Linked DNA regions of Oryza sativa Japonica Group. The protein of the gene in region 1 interacts with the protein of each later gene in a pairwise test. Links are inferred from orthologs where the notes say so. Each region holds a gene or a part of one and is shown in the gene's direction. Other genes may lie near its edges.

Evidence for each region. The genes of interacting proteins can lie anywhere in the genome.
Region 2: the proteins of protein TRANSPARENT TESTA GLABRA 1 (region 1) and transcription factor MYBS3 interact in binary tests that used the Arabidopsis thaliana proteins (3 or more experiments, as listed by UniProt). The link is inferred for Oryza sativa Japonica Group from reciprocal best matches to the Arabidopsis thaliana genes TTG1 and AT5G47390.
Region 3: the proteins of protein TRANSPARENT TESTA GLABRA 1 (region 1) and two-component response regulator-like PRR1 interact in binary tests that used the Arabidopsis thaliana proteins (3 or more experiments, as listed by UniProt). The link is inferred for Oryza sativa Japonica Group from reciprocal best matches to the Arabidopsis thaliana genes TTG1 and TOC1.

What each region holds. Positions count from the first base shown.
Region 1 is NC_089036.1:28,395,259-28,399,311, reverse strand, and holds the start of protein TRANSPARENT TESTA GLABRA 1, read left to right. Parts: upstream 1-1,245; 5' UTR 1,246-1,441; coding exon 1,442-2,509; 3' UTR 2,510-2,513; intron 2,514-3,721; 3' UTR 3,722-4,053. Other genes in the region: mitochondrial import inner membrane translocase subunit Tim13, read left to right, coding at 594-743.
Region 2 is NC_089044.1:22,820,954-22,825,202, reverse strand, and holds the start of transcription factor MYBS3, read left to right. Parts: upstream 1-1,446; 5' UTR 1,447-1,582; coding exon 1,583-1,859; intron 1,860-3,390; coding exon 3,391-3,599; intron 3,600-3,878; coding exon 3,879-4,249. UniProt on the Arabidopsis thaliana protein: Transcriptional repressor. Direct regulator of the transcription of peroxidase (Prxs) and reactive oxygen species (ROS)-related genes via the recognition of 5'-ATCACA-3' motif.
Region 3 is NC_089036.1:25,050,807-25,054,820, forward strand, and holds the start of two-component response regulator-like PRR1, read left to right. Parts: upstream 1-1,211; 5' UTR 1,212-1,837; coding exon 1,838-1,997; intron 1,998-2,128; coding exon 2,129-2,290; intron 2,291-2,374; coding exon 2,375-2,508; intron 2,509-2,632; coding exon 2,633-2,800; intron 2,801-3,005; coding exon 3,006-3,087; intron 3,088-3,186; coding exon 3,187-4,014. UniProt on the Arabidopsis thaliana protein: Controls photoperiodic flowering response. Component of the circadian clock. Expression of several members of the ARR-like family is controlled by circadian rhythm.

The sequences.
Region 1 (4,053 bases):
TTTGTATGTCTTTCACTTCTGTGTTCATTATATATTTGAACTCAACATAGAGTCAGAACTATTAACTTGTGCTGGCCTGCCACGACCAGAAAGGTAAAATATGTGTTCACAAAGTTAGCATTGAAGTTGACCCTTCCTGTTGCTACACTATTACTACGAAGTTTGACATATGAGTAATTAGGCTGCGTTCGTTCGGGTAACATTGAGGGAGATAACATCTCGTTTTCCGCGCGCACGCTTTCCAAATTACTAAATGGTGCGTTTTTTGTAAAAATTTCCTATAGGAAAGTTGCTTTTAAAAATCATATTAATCCATTTTTGAAATTTAAAATAATTAATACTCAATTAATCATGAGCTAATGGCTCACCTCGTTTTACGTATCTTCCCAATCTCCTCAATCACCTTCTCCTCAAACTCACCCTTAGTCTTGCTGATCAAGTGATTCTGCCACTGTTGGTTTACATGACATATATGTAATACAGATTACATGAGAAAAAGGGTAGTGTTTGAAATAAAACATGCCAATTCCAGGCATTGCTTCTTTGTTAAACACATGACATGGTTGTAATTCTCTCTTGTTTTGTTGTTACAGACTGTTGGAAACAAGTGCTTTGCCAAGTGCGTGACAAAGCCAGGATCAAGCTTGAGCGGGAGCGAGAGCAGTTGCATATCACGCTGTGTTGATCGTTACATTGAGGCAACTGGTATTGTCAGCCGAGCTCTGTTCAGTTCCACACGCTGAGCGACGATGTGTAGCCTTCAGTTGCTGCTTAAATCAGAATTGGGGAAAAATGTTTTTCCTAGACTCGTTATTTTTGCCTTTCTAATCTGTGAGAAAGAGAGCAACCTTTATATTAATTAAGTGGCAACTATTAGCTAAGCTGGTTTTCAGCTGTTAAAAGCCGCAAATTCTGCCTTGCAGTTTCTCTTAACTGTTTGTTTCTTTTGTTCCCCATGGGGCACTACCCTATCCTGATGGTAGTAGCATCGTTTGCATTGCTTGAGAGGACTGACCTGTCCTGCCGGTTGCTCAAGAACTCATGAGAGGCTGGTTGAGTAAATGAGTACATCCTGTTTAAGTTAAACTGATTCCAGTCGAAAGTCGAAACCAGCTTTGACTATAAGTCACTGACGGTCTGGCCCCACCGTTGAATCAGCTTCAGGCGGCCACCAACTGCAGCAGCCCGGCGGCCGCATGCCCGCATCGTCGCCCGTTCAACCCTCGTGCCGAGCTGACGTTTACCGGCCGGTTGCCGTGGCACGCGCGCGTTGACGCGCCTCCTCCTTCGCCGTCCCTCCTACCTGCTCGGCCTGGCTGCTCGCGTTTTTTACTCTGAACTCCCCGACCCGATCAACCACCGCGGCGCGTGAGTCCATTCATCCCCAAATCCACCCGAGAAAGAAAGGAAGCAAAGCGAAGCGAATCCAACGATTTTTCCCATGGAGCAGCCCAAGCCGCCGTCGGTAGCCGCCTCGGCGGCGGAGGCGCAGAACCCGAACGCCTTCACCTGCGAGCTGCCGCACTCCATCTACGCGCTGGCCTTCTCCCCCTCCGCGCCCGTCCTCGCCGCCGGCAGCTTCCTCGAGGACCTCCACAACCGCGTCTCCCTCCTCTCCTTCGACCCCGTCCACCCCACCGCCGCCTCCTTCCGCGCCCTCCCCGCGCTCTCCTTCGACCACCCCTACCCGCCCACCAAGCTCCAGTTCCACCCGCGCGCCGCCTCCGCGCCCCACCTCCTCGCCTCCTCCTCCGACGCGCTGCGGCTCTGGCTTGCCCCGCTCGACGATCTCGCCGCCACCGCCACCGCCGCCGCGCCCGAGCTCCGCTCCGTCCTCGACAACCGCAAGACATCCGCCTCCGAGTTCTGCGCCCCCCTCACCTCCTTCGACTGGAACGAGGCCGAGCCCCGCCGCATCGGGACCGCCTCCATCGACACCACCTGCACCATCTGGGACATCGAGCGCGGCGTCGTCGAGACGCAGCTCATCGCGCACGACAAGGCCGTGCACGACATCGCCTGGGGGGAGAACGGCATCTTCGCCTCCGTCTCAGCCGACGGCTCCGTCCGCGTCTTCGACCTCCGGGACAAGGAGCATTCCACCATCTTCTACGAGAGCCCCCGCCCGGACACGCCGCTCCTCAGGCTGGCATGGAACCGCTATGACTTCCACTACATGGCCACCCTGCTCATGGACAGCAGCGCCGTCGTCGTGCTCGACATGCGCGCGCCCGGGGTGCCGGTGGCCGAACTACACAGACACCGGGCGTGCGCCAACGCGGTCGCTTGGGCGCCACAGGCCACGAGGCACCTTTGCTCGGCTGGGGACGACGGCCAAGCGCTGATTTGGGAGCTGCCAGCGACGCCCGGCGCAGTGCCGGCCGAGGGGATTGATCCTGTGATGGTGTATGATGCCGGTGCAGAGATAAACCAACTGCAATGGGCGGCAGCTTACCCGGAGTGGATATCGATTGCCTTTGAGAACAAGGTCCAGCTTCTCAGGGTCTGACGAGGTTGGTTCCTTTGGCCCTTCATGGTTCAAATAGTCTATTGATTCATAGCATAATATTTTTAAGATTGAATAATGCTGATTCTAAACATTAGTATTAGATTTTGGGATTGTTGAATTTGATTTATCAGAAGCTTCTACATTATACTGCAAAAGTAACCTCATTCATCAGTCCTATAAAGGTTAGAATTTCCTAATATTGTTGGGTGAACTCAATTTGTGATGAACTGTCTGGTGGATATGTTTCTGGAATGATCGACAATACAAGATGCCTCATTTCCATACAAACTAGAAGGCATGATTATTATAGTGGTGTTGTACTTGCACCAACTGAACAAAGGTTATCGGTTCAAACCAAATCGAAACATCAATCAGCACACAAGCACTTTTTATGACACTTTGTCACCTTCATTTGTCCATTATTTCATCCTGTGATTGTACCACCTCCTCTGCCCCTTCCCTCAATGTTAGTCAGCACTGACCAGGATTAGATGAAATCTTCTTATTTTCTTGATGTCCTGGACTTGTGTCTATTTATGATCGTAAGTTATATTCTGACTGTTGATGGAAAAAAAAAACAGATTTAGACTATGCTCCATTCTTTTCATTATTCTGTTTACAAGGTGTAAATTCCCATCACAACAAGAGCCAACAAGGTATTTTGTTCAACATCAAATAAGAAGCGCTAACTAGAAGCAGAACCTAGTATGTCTGACTGCCATTTATCCTACCGTACTCGCACTTCAGATACTGTTTCTGGATATTATTGTCTATGTCAGTGTCCTTGTAATATATATGTTTCTTTTAATCTTAGTCCCAACAGTTCTAATTCTATATTGAGTAATTTGATATTTTTTGCAGCAGATTGTTTAATCTATCTGTATAAACATAAAGCCCATACAACAATTCCTAGGCCTCCCTGCTTACTCTTCTCTGGTGCAAGCTGCATTTTATTTGCTTAGATGATATATTCTTTAATGCCAGCATGACATACCGCCAAATTTCGCAATCCAAGCAATGTTCAAATCGCTTCACAACTGGGACATCAATGGAACATGGCATGGAATTTGATTATGTTCTACTTCGAAAATATTTAACTTCTCCTTCAGCTGCCTAGCATTTCTAATGTCTTGTGAATCATCTTAACCTTTGTCTATTATCGATGTAGTAACCCTGTACATTTGATATGAAACCCCCTTTTTTGCCATGCAGATGTTTTCTGAAGGATGTTCGACTCTGAAGCCTTGGCGTTTCTTCTATTCCATCAGTTCACATGTGTCTTATGTTGGTGATCTCTTGATATATTCATTACTCTACTCTCCTGCTAAGCTACGGAAAGCATGAAACTTGCAGCAAGGATTGATCTTGTGGCCAGCTTTAACTTGAACTTTGTGGAAGTTATCTGTGTTGTGAACATAGAAATATAGATACTAGCCTGCCAGTACAAGAATCAGCTGATGAATGGATAGATGGACTGCTCACTGCTCCTGCATTTAGTCCTGTAGTCATTTTCGTTTTTCTGCTCGTGCTGTGCTATTCATCGC
Region 2 (4,249 bases), on another chromosome or scaffold:
ATTTGGCAACAAACTAAATGTAGCTACTTTTTTAAGTAACTTTGCCAAAACTTGATAAGGTTGAAAATGATAGCAAACTGAACAAGCCTCGATTTATGCTTGCAGAAAGAGTGAGTGCACATTTTAGGTCCCATGAAATACATACACGTACATAGCTATCAGCGTGTCCTCGTAATACACATTCAAATAGCATCAATAATTCCTTTCCCTTACTCTATAGGAAGCATAATTCCTTATATAGAGTATAGGTTGATGCATATATAAACGAATCATAGCATACCACATGACACTAACTTGATAAAGGTTGTATAATCTTTAGACTCAACATCTACTATAAAGACGCATATTTATGGACCTCGTGGATGGACTCCACCATCATATTAATATTGTCTCTCCAATAGGATCGATAGGTAAAAATGTCATTAGCATTATTGTCTTCTAATGTGAAACAAAGTGAGCGTTCTACAAAAATATTTGACATCCTCGTGTTGGAGTTCAAATTTACAATCTCAATGCTTTAGCCTATACAAAATCACCTATGTAGAATTGTAATCTCACCGACCTGCTTGAGATGCCATTGGTGTTAATTTTCTCCTTTTGTTTCTTCCTTCTCTTCTTCTTCGGTTTCTTTTCTTCTCTTCTTTTTTCATCACCGAGGGCTTCCCGAGATCACCTCACGAATCCTTTCTAGTGCAAGTTTTAGGGTTTAGGCAAAGAGTACGACATCCCTTCTCCTTTGCCTTTCATCTCTTTATATAGGCGCTGGTGGGGCTCGAGGGTTATCTCCAATTTGGTTAGGAATTAGTTCTACTGTTCACAAAACTAACTCTCCGTCTTTAGGAATCAGATACGTGTGATTTATCTTCCTTATCTAGCTGGCATTTAGCTGATAAAATCAACCAAAACCTGGTATTGATAGTTATAGTGAGACAAACCTCTAATCCTCAACTATTCAGGATTTACGTTCACCCGTGGCACATTAGGGTTACATGGTACACCAAGAAGCAACACATTTAGAATCCATAAACTTTTTGGCGTAGAATAATCCGTGCATTTTTCATCTTTAGTTAACGTCTGTTTAGTTACGAGTAGAAGAGTTAAACCAGACCATGACATCGCTCAAAAGAAAAAAAACAAGAAAAGAAAGAAAGACCACGACAGTTTGACGAGCTAGCAGCGAGAGAGAGTTTGTTGGGGGCCGTTTGCTGTGGATCGTTCACCAGTCACCACACGAAACGATCGAAGCAGAGGCTGAGGCTGAGGAGAGCAGCCGAAGGAAGGAAGCCCAACCGCGTGGACGGATAGAAAGAAGGCGTGACCCACAAGCCGCCGCTACTTGCCTCCCTCGTCTCACGTATATCCCCTTCCCCCGAATATCCGCCACGTGGACGGCCCTCGCCTCTCTCCGACCACCTTAACCAATCACCACACAGCAGTTAACCCCTCTCCTCCCCTTCCTCTTCTCCCCCCTCCCTCTCCTCGTCGTCTCCACCACCACCATCTCCGTCTCCACTCGATCGATCGATCGATCTCCATAGGTGGGGGAAGGGAAGCTTTGGAAGGTGGAGGGACGGAGGGGGGGATGACGAGGCGGTGCTCGCACTGCAGCCACAACGGGCACAACTCGCGGACGTGCCCCAACCGCGGGGTCAAGATCTTCGGGGTGCGCCTCACCGATGGCTCCATCCGCAAGAGCGCCAGCATGGGGAACCTCTCCCTCCTCTCCTCCGCCGCCGGATCCACCAGCGGCGGCGCCTCCCCCGCCGACGGCCCCGACGCCGCCCCCACCGCCGCCGACGGCTACGCCTCCGACGACTTCGTCCAGGGCTCCTCCTCCGCCACCCGCGACCGCAAGAAGGGTCAGCCCCCCCCCTTCTTCTTCTTTCCCAACCCCTTAATTTCAATGATTTAATCATCCCAAAAACCATTCTGGCCTGATGCGACTTACTAGATCCTCTCCAACCTCAGGTTTTTCTTCTTCTTGTGCTTCTTTTTTTATTATTATTCCTACTAGTATGTTCTTCTTCCTTTGCTGCTTCGGCGTGTAGATTTGGGAGATTTGATGGAGTACTGCTACTAGCAGTCACTGCTAGTTGTTTCTTCCAAGTAGGACAGACGCTAGAGAAAGCATTTAATGGGCAGATTGTACTGATGGTCATGGATGAGTGATTTGGTACTACTTAGCTCATGCATACGCCACTCCACTTCAATTAATTACTCTCGGTACAAGGACGGCGTATAGATGCCTCCAACTGTTTGATGAGATCACAAGGACGTTTTGTCAAACTCATGCTCAGCTCCATATTTGTCTAGGATAAGTAAGAATTTAGAATCAGACCAGATCGTTCCAACGAGTAATGATGGCTGATCCTGTGGAACTTTTTAATTTGATCCTTTGCCTCTGCAAGGATGCATGGGGCCACGTGTTCTGAGAGGATAACAGTGTCGAATTAGGGATTTTGTGAGTGGCTGGTAACTAGGCTCAGTGTTCTCATGTTTAGACACCCGATCATCGGAGATTGGAACCTATGATTGCGTACGGTGTTGTTAGCTCTGTTCTGATTCAGAATGATTTCTAGTTTACTGCGTAGTTATATTCGCGGTGTTGGTCCAAGAAAAGTCTTCCAAGCTGTCAGCTTTCAAAACCCAAGAACCTTCCTAATGGCATGCCTATGTTAATGTGTGAAAGCTTCAAAGCAGCACGTGATTGTTTGATCTTTACTGTGGCAGTAGTTCCTACTGTAACGGCCTTACTAGAGGTCATGCCATTGGTAGACTGCGTTGTCATTGCCTCATTAACTTGTACTTCCATCCAAATTTGATGCTTGGAGTGCAGTTTTAGACTTATATGCCTACTGACTTAAATGTATTGGAAAAGTCAAAAGTATATGTTTGTCCTTTATCAATTTGTAATGAAAGGCACTAAATTGGATAAAAGAAATCGCCTTGAAATGTACAATTTGCTATTCTTTTGACATTTATTCTGTTAAGAGGATTATGCCAGATTGACAATGTTTTAATCTTGTTAACCTTCTGCATAACTTGTTAAGGTGGCAAAAGACATAAAATTTGTCTCTTTCCCTTTTATGTTCTGGCATTTCTCTTGGAATCTCATAGAATCCTTTTACTTTTTAAGATTGGAGTCCTCTCTCTGTGCGCCCTGTTTCTTAGGAACGGGCTCTTTTTTGGGCTGGATAATTTTCCTTTGGTGATAGGCAGTACTGTTATTTTGTGTAGTAGTCCCAAGTTTGTTGGTATTTTTGTCAGTATATGATGGGAGCTTAACTATTACAGTTCTCCAGCTTCTTGTACTCCAGTCATTACTCGCTACCTGCGTGCCTGCAGGCCACATTCTGTGTGCCATGTTTCTGATTAAGATGACTTTGACAGGTGTTCCTTGGACTGAAGAAGAACACCGGAGGTTTTTGCTTGGATTGCAAAAGCTTGGCAAAGGTGATTGGCGAGGAATCTCTCGTAATTTCGTGGTCTCAAGAACACCTACTCAAGTAGCCAGTCATGCTCAGAAATATTTTATACGCCAATCCAATATGACCAGAAGGAAAAGAAGGTCTAGCCTTTTTGACATGGTGCCAGATGAGGTAGCTTGCTTGATCTTATTTCGATTATTGTGCTGATATTGGCATGTAGCATAATAAGCCTGCCTGGGTCTATTCTTATATTGAGACGAGGAGATTGCTCATTTGTGTGGTGATAGATATCATATTGCTAAAACTTATCTTTTTGAACAAATTGTGTAGTTTATTTATGTATTGCATGAAGACTTGAGAACACTTTTATCCTTGTTCGAATTAGAAAGGTTGTACTGTTTTCTCTGTACTCTAATGGGGGAACTGAACTGTGTTTTGGTGGTTTTACAGTCTATGGACCTTCCACCACTTCCTGGAGGTCAAGAACCAGAGACCCAAGTATTAAATCAACCAGCACTACCTCCACCGAGGGAGGAGGAGGAGGTAGATTCTATGGAGTCAGATACTTCTGCCGTTGCAGAGAGCTCTTCCGCTTCTGCTATCATGCCAGATAATTTGCAGTCGACCTATCCAGTGATTGTTCCAGCTTATTTCTCGCCCTTTTTGCAATTCTCGGTTCCTTTCTGGCAAAATCAGAAAGATGAAGATGGTCCTGTGCAAGAAACACATGAGATTGTCAAGCCTGTTCCAGTTCATTCAAAGAGCCCAATCAACGTTGATGAGCTTGTTGGCATGTCGAAGCTCAGCATAGGAGAGTCCAA
Region 3 (4,014 bases), about 3.3 Mb from region 1:
CTTCCACTGTCAGAACAACTTATTGCTGATAGTAGTAGCTTTGGGTGACTTTCAAGCCTGTATGCAGCACTACTCTAGCTAATAACTCATTTTGTATGATTTCATTGGTAGCAATAAATATGATTAGTGCGTCCTGTGAATGAGACTGATGACATCGGCACTCCAAGCTCCTGCTACTGGCTGCCAGCCTGCCTCCAGATTTTTGAGATCGAGATGTTGTTGTGTCGTCACTGATACCAACCATCCACTCCTCTCGGTGGAAGAAATACAGCCAGTGAACTGGAGGAAACACCCTTCGTCAAAATGATTGTTTTGCCTGGCCATAGTTCAGAGCTGCAATCAAAAATCTTGGTTGTGTTTACCATTCTGCTGAATTACTGAATTACAGCGCTGGTAACAGATCAGTAAACAAACGACAGCGCTGTTAACGCTAAACCCATTTTGCAGCATCGCTGATTTGCTGCCGGAGCCCGGAGGCCACCACGTACATCGCCAGTGGCAAACAAGAAAAGCAAAGCTACAGAAAAAGCGCTAGGCCGGCGCCACGAGCCGCCACCACAAGTCCACGACCAGTCGCTCTCCGGATCGGCGTAGTGGCAATGGGCATCCCAAGTTGCCAACACGGGGAAAAAAAAAACACCCCCCATCCAGCTGCTGCTCTCTACCGGCCACTCGTCTCGTCCGGTAGCTCAAAATCTTTTACTCATCAGCCCAGCCACCACCGTATCGCCATGCTGCCCATCAAGGTCTGTACTACGTGAAAACGTGAGAGCCGCGTTTCCCTCTGGATTTTTCTCCGCCTTGGCACGTCCGCGGTGGGCTGGCGCGGCTTTCGTCGTGATCCGCAACGGAGGGCGGGGACGCGGCCACCGTGGACGCCGCCGCACGTACGTGGGCGTGGCGCTCCCACTCCCACGGCACCACCACGGCACCACCTCCCTCCGCCTCTCGCGTCGTCGTTTCCACAGTACTACTACAGTAGCGCGTCTCCCTGGCGTTCGTTCGCTGGCCCCCAGCTCGCGCGCGTGGCGGCTCCCGTATCGCACGGCCACGGCCCCACCACGCCCGCCGCCCCTAATCGCATCCGCGATTAAGATATTTCCGTGCCAGGTAGGCGTAGATATTTTCTCACCGAAATCACACGCCGCCAGGCCGGGCCCATCTGGCTTAACCACGCCCGGCTCTTCCCCTCCATCCAACCTGGCCCTCCCACCCACGGGGCCGCGGCTCGCGGCTCGTCCCGTCCCGTCCCGTGACGAATCCATTGACACCGGCACACGCACACGCACACCCGCACCGCGCGACGCGAGTACGCGACACAAACCGCTCGCGACGAGCCGTTTCGTTTATTTTTACACCGCCCCGGCGCGGCGTGACGAGGCCTTTTCTTCTTTCTTTCATCTCTCGCCGAGCCGAGCCGAGCCGAGCCGCGTGCCCCACCGAGAGAGGAAAGCAAAAGGTAGGGGGAGGAAAATATCCTGTGCCAGTAGAGCGGACACCAACGCCGCCACCACCACCGCCGCCGCCTCCTGAATAGATTAGGCGCGGATAATGGTGCGGGCCGGACCGCAACGCGCGGCGGAGGAGGACGCCGCCGGCGTCGGCGGCGGGTGGCGGCGGTAGCACACTGCTTAGCCTCTGGGGGCGATACTACTGGCGACGGCACGGGATATGGAGGAGGAGGCGCCGCCCGCAGATCCAACAACCGCTTCGTCCTCCTGCGTCGTCTAGTCTAGGCGCCGGCAGCTGCTGCTGGCTGCTGTGCTGTTCGTGCTGATTCGGACGCGTCGGCAGCTGGTGACAAGTGGCTAGGGGGGGAATCCGTGCGGGTCGGGGTATGGTGGGCGCCGGCGAGGGGGATCGCGTTGGCGGCGGGGCGGCGGTAGGGGGAGGGCAGCAGTTCGTGGACCGGAGCAAGGTGAGGATTCTGCTCTGCGACAGCGACCCAAGTAGCTCACGGGAGGTGCTCCGCCTCCTCTGCAACTGCTCATACCAAGGTCAGTTCAGCTTTGTCTGCTTAGTATTTGGTTTGCTCTTATAATTAAGGATTAAGATTGCTTTAGTAGATGAATTAGCAGTTCTATCACACCTTCTCGCATGGAATGATACGTCTTTGTTTTTGTTTCAGTGACTTGCGCCAAGTCTCCGAGGCAGGTGATCAACGTACTCAACTGCGAGGCGGGGGAGATCGACATCATCTTGGCCGAGGTCGATCTGCCCGTCTCCAAGTGCTTCAAGATGCTCAAATACATCGCCAGGAACAAGGAATTGCGCCACATCCCCATCATAAGTAAGCTGTCCTCCTATTCCTCTGATGCCCATGCTCGTAGGGTTGTTGTAGTGACCATCCTCATCTTTGATGCGAATTATGCAGTGATGTCCAACAGAGACGAGGTCTCTGTTGTTGTCAAGTGCTTGCGTCTCGGGGCAGCCGAGTACCTGGTCAAGCCACTGCGCATGAACGAGCTGCTGAACCTCTGGACCCATGTGTGGCGGCGAAGGCGGATGGTAAAGGGGACTATGTTGATTCATCTTCAAATTCTGTGTTGAAAAGCATGCTCTAAGCTGAGATGGCTGTGGCGTTGCTGTAGCGTGTATGAGTTGATCTTAAGTTGAATGTTGGTGTTGGCAGCTTGGTTTGTCGGAGAAAAACTTCTTCAATGACAATTTCGAGTTGGCGTTATCGGAACCTAGTGACGCCAATACCAACAGCACCACTCTTCTCTCGGATGACACAGATGATAAGCCAAAAGAAAACATTAATCAAGAAACAAGCACCTCGAATCAACATGAATATGAGGTAACCAATCAAGTACTAGTTATCCTTTTATATTTTGCTGTCCAACATACTACTTCTCTATTTAGTATCTTTCTACCTTTGTGTTCTGTTTAGATGCTAGAGCATGCCTTTTTGCCTCATATGTTCAATTGATGATGATAAGATGCTGAATTTTTTGCATCAGTCTACTTGTTAAATGCCCTTGCATTTCTTGATATGTTTGCAGTCTAATCCTTCTGATGCTGAGCCTAAACAAAAAGGCACACCAGAGGGTTTACTAGTCTCTACTGAAGGCGGCGACCAAGCTTGTAAGTATCTTGAGCCTTAAACCATTTCCTTTAGCTGATTTAGCAGATCCCCCAATTGAAGAATAGTTTCTAAGGTTTATGCCTTTGCTTTTATGCCAGCATCTCCCGGAGTAATGTTTTCACGTCCAATAAAGACTAACTTGAGGGTTGCTGAGTCTTCTGCTTTTCTAGCTTATGTTAAGTCAAGCACCCCAACTACCAGCTCATTTGACAGCGAACTACAAAAAGGTGGAAATCGGTTAGACTCTTCGGATCACAGGGGTAATTTCTCTAGTACAACTGACAGAAGTGACACTGGCACTGATGTAAATATTCGGGATAAAGAAGCCTTTGAGATGCCAGTGCAATACCCTGTGGTATGCTTTTCTTCCTCTAACTTGCATCTGGAGCGAAGCAATGAAGGCCAAAATGATGCTTCAGGAACTCCTCCTGTATATCATTTTCCCTTTTATTACCCAGGGATGATGGACCACGGTATGACACATCCTCCGGTGCAAAATTTCCAAGGGAACATAAACAACGCTCAAGTGCATACACCACAAACGTTGCTCCCTCAGTATAATGTTTATCCCCAATGTCATGGTGTATCTATGATGCCACCATTTCAGTATAATCCTGCTGGTATGAGCATTCAATCAAATCAACTGCCAACACAAAATATGTGGCCACAGGCATCAAGCACACCAATGCCCGAGGAAACATGTAGTCGGTCTGAACGGAGAGCTGCAGCACTTGCCAAATTCAGGCTGAAAAGGAAGGAACGTTGTTTTGACAAGAAGGTGAGGTACGTGAATAGGAAGAAACTTGCTGAAACAAGGCCGAGGGTGCGAGGGCAATTTGTTAGACAGGCAAACTATACAGATATAACCAGCACTGGAGATGATATCTCAGAAGATGAAGATGATGATCCATCCTCCAGGGAGGTAG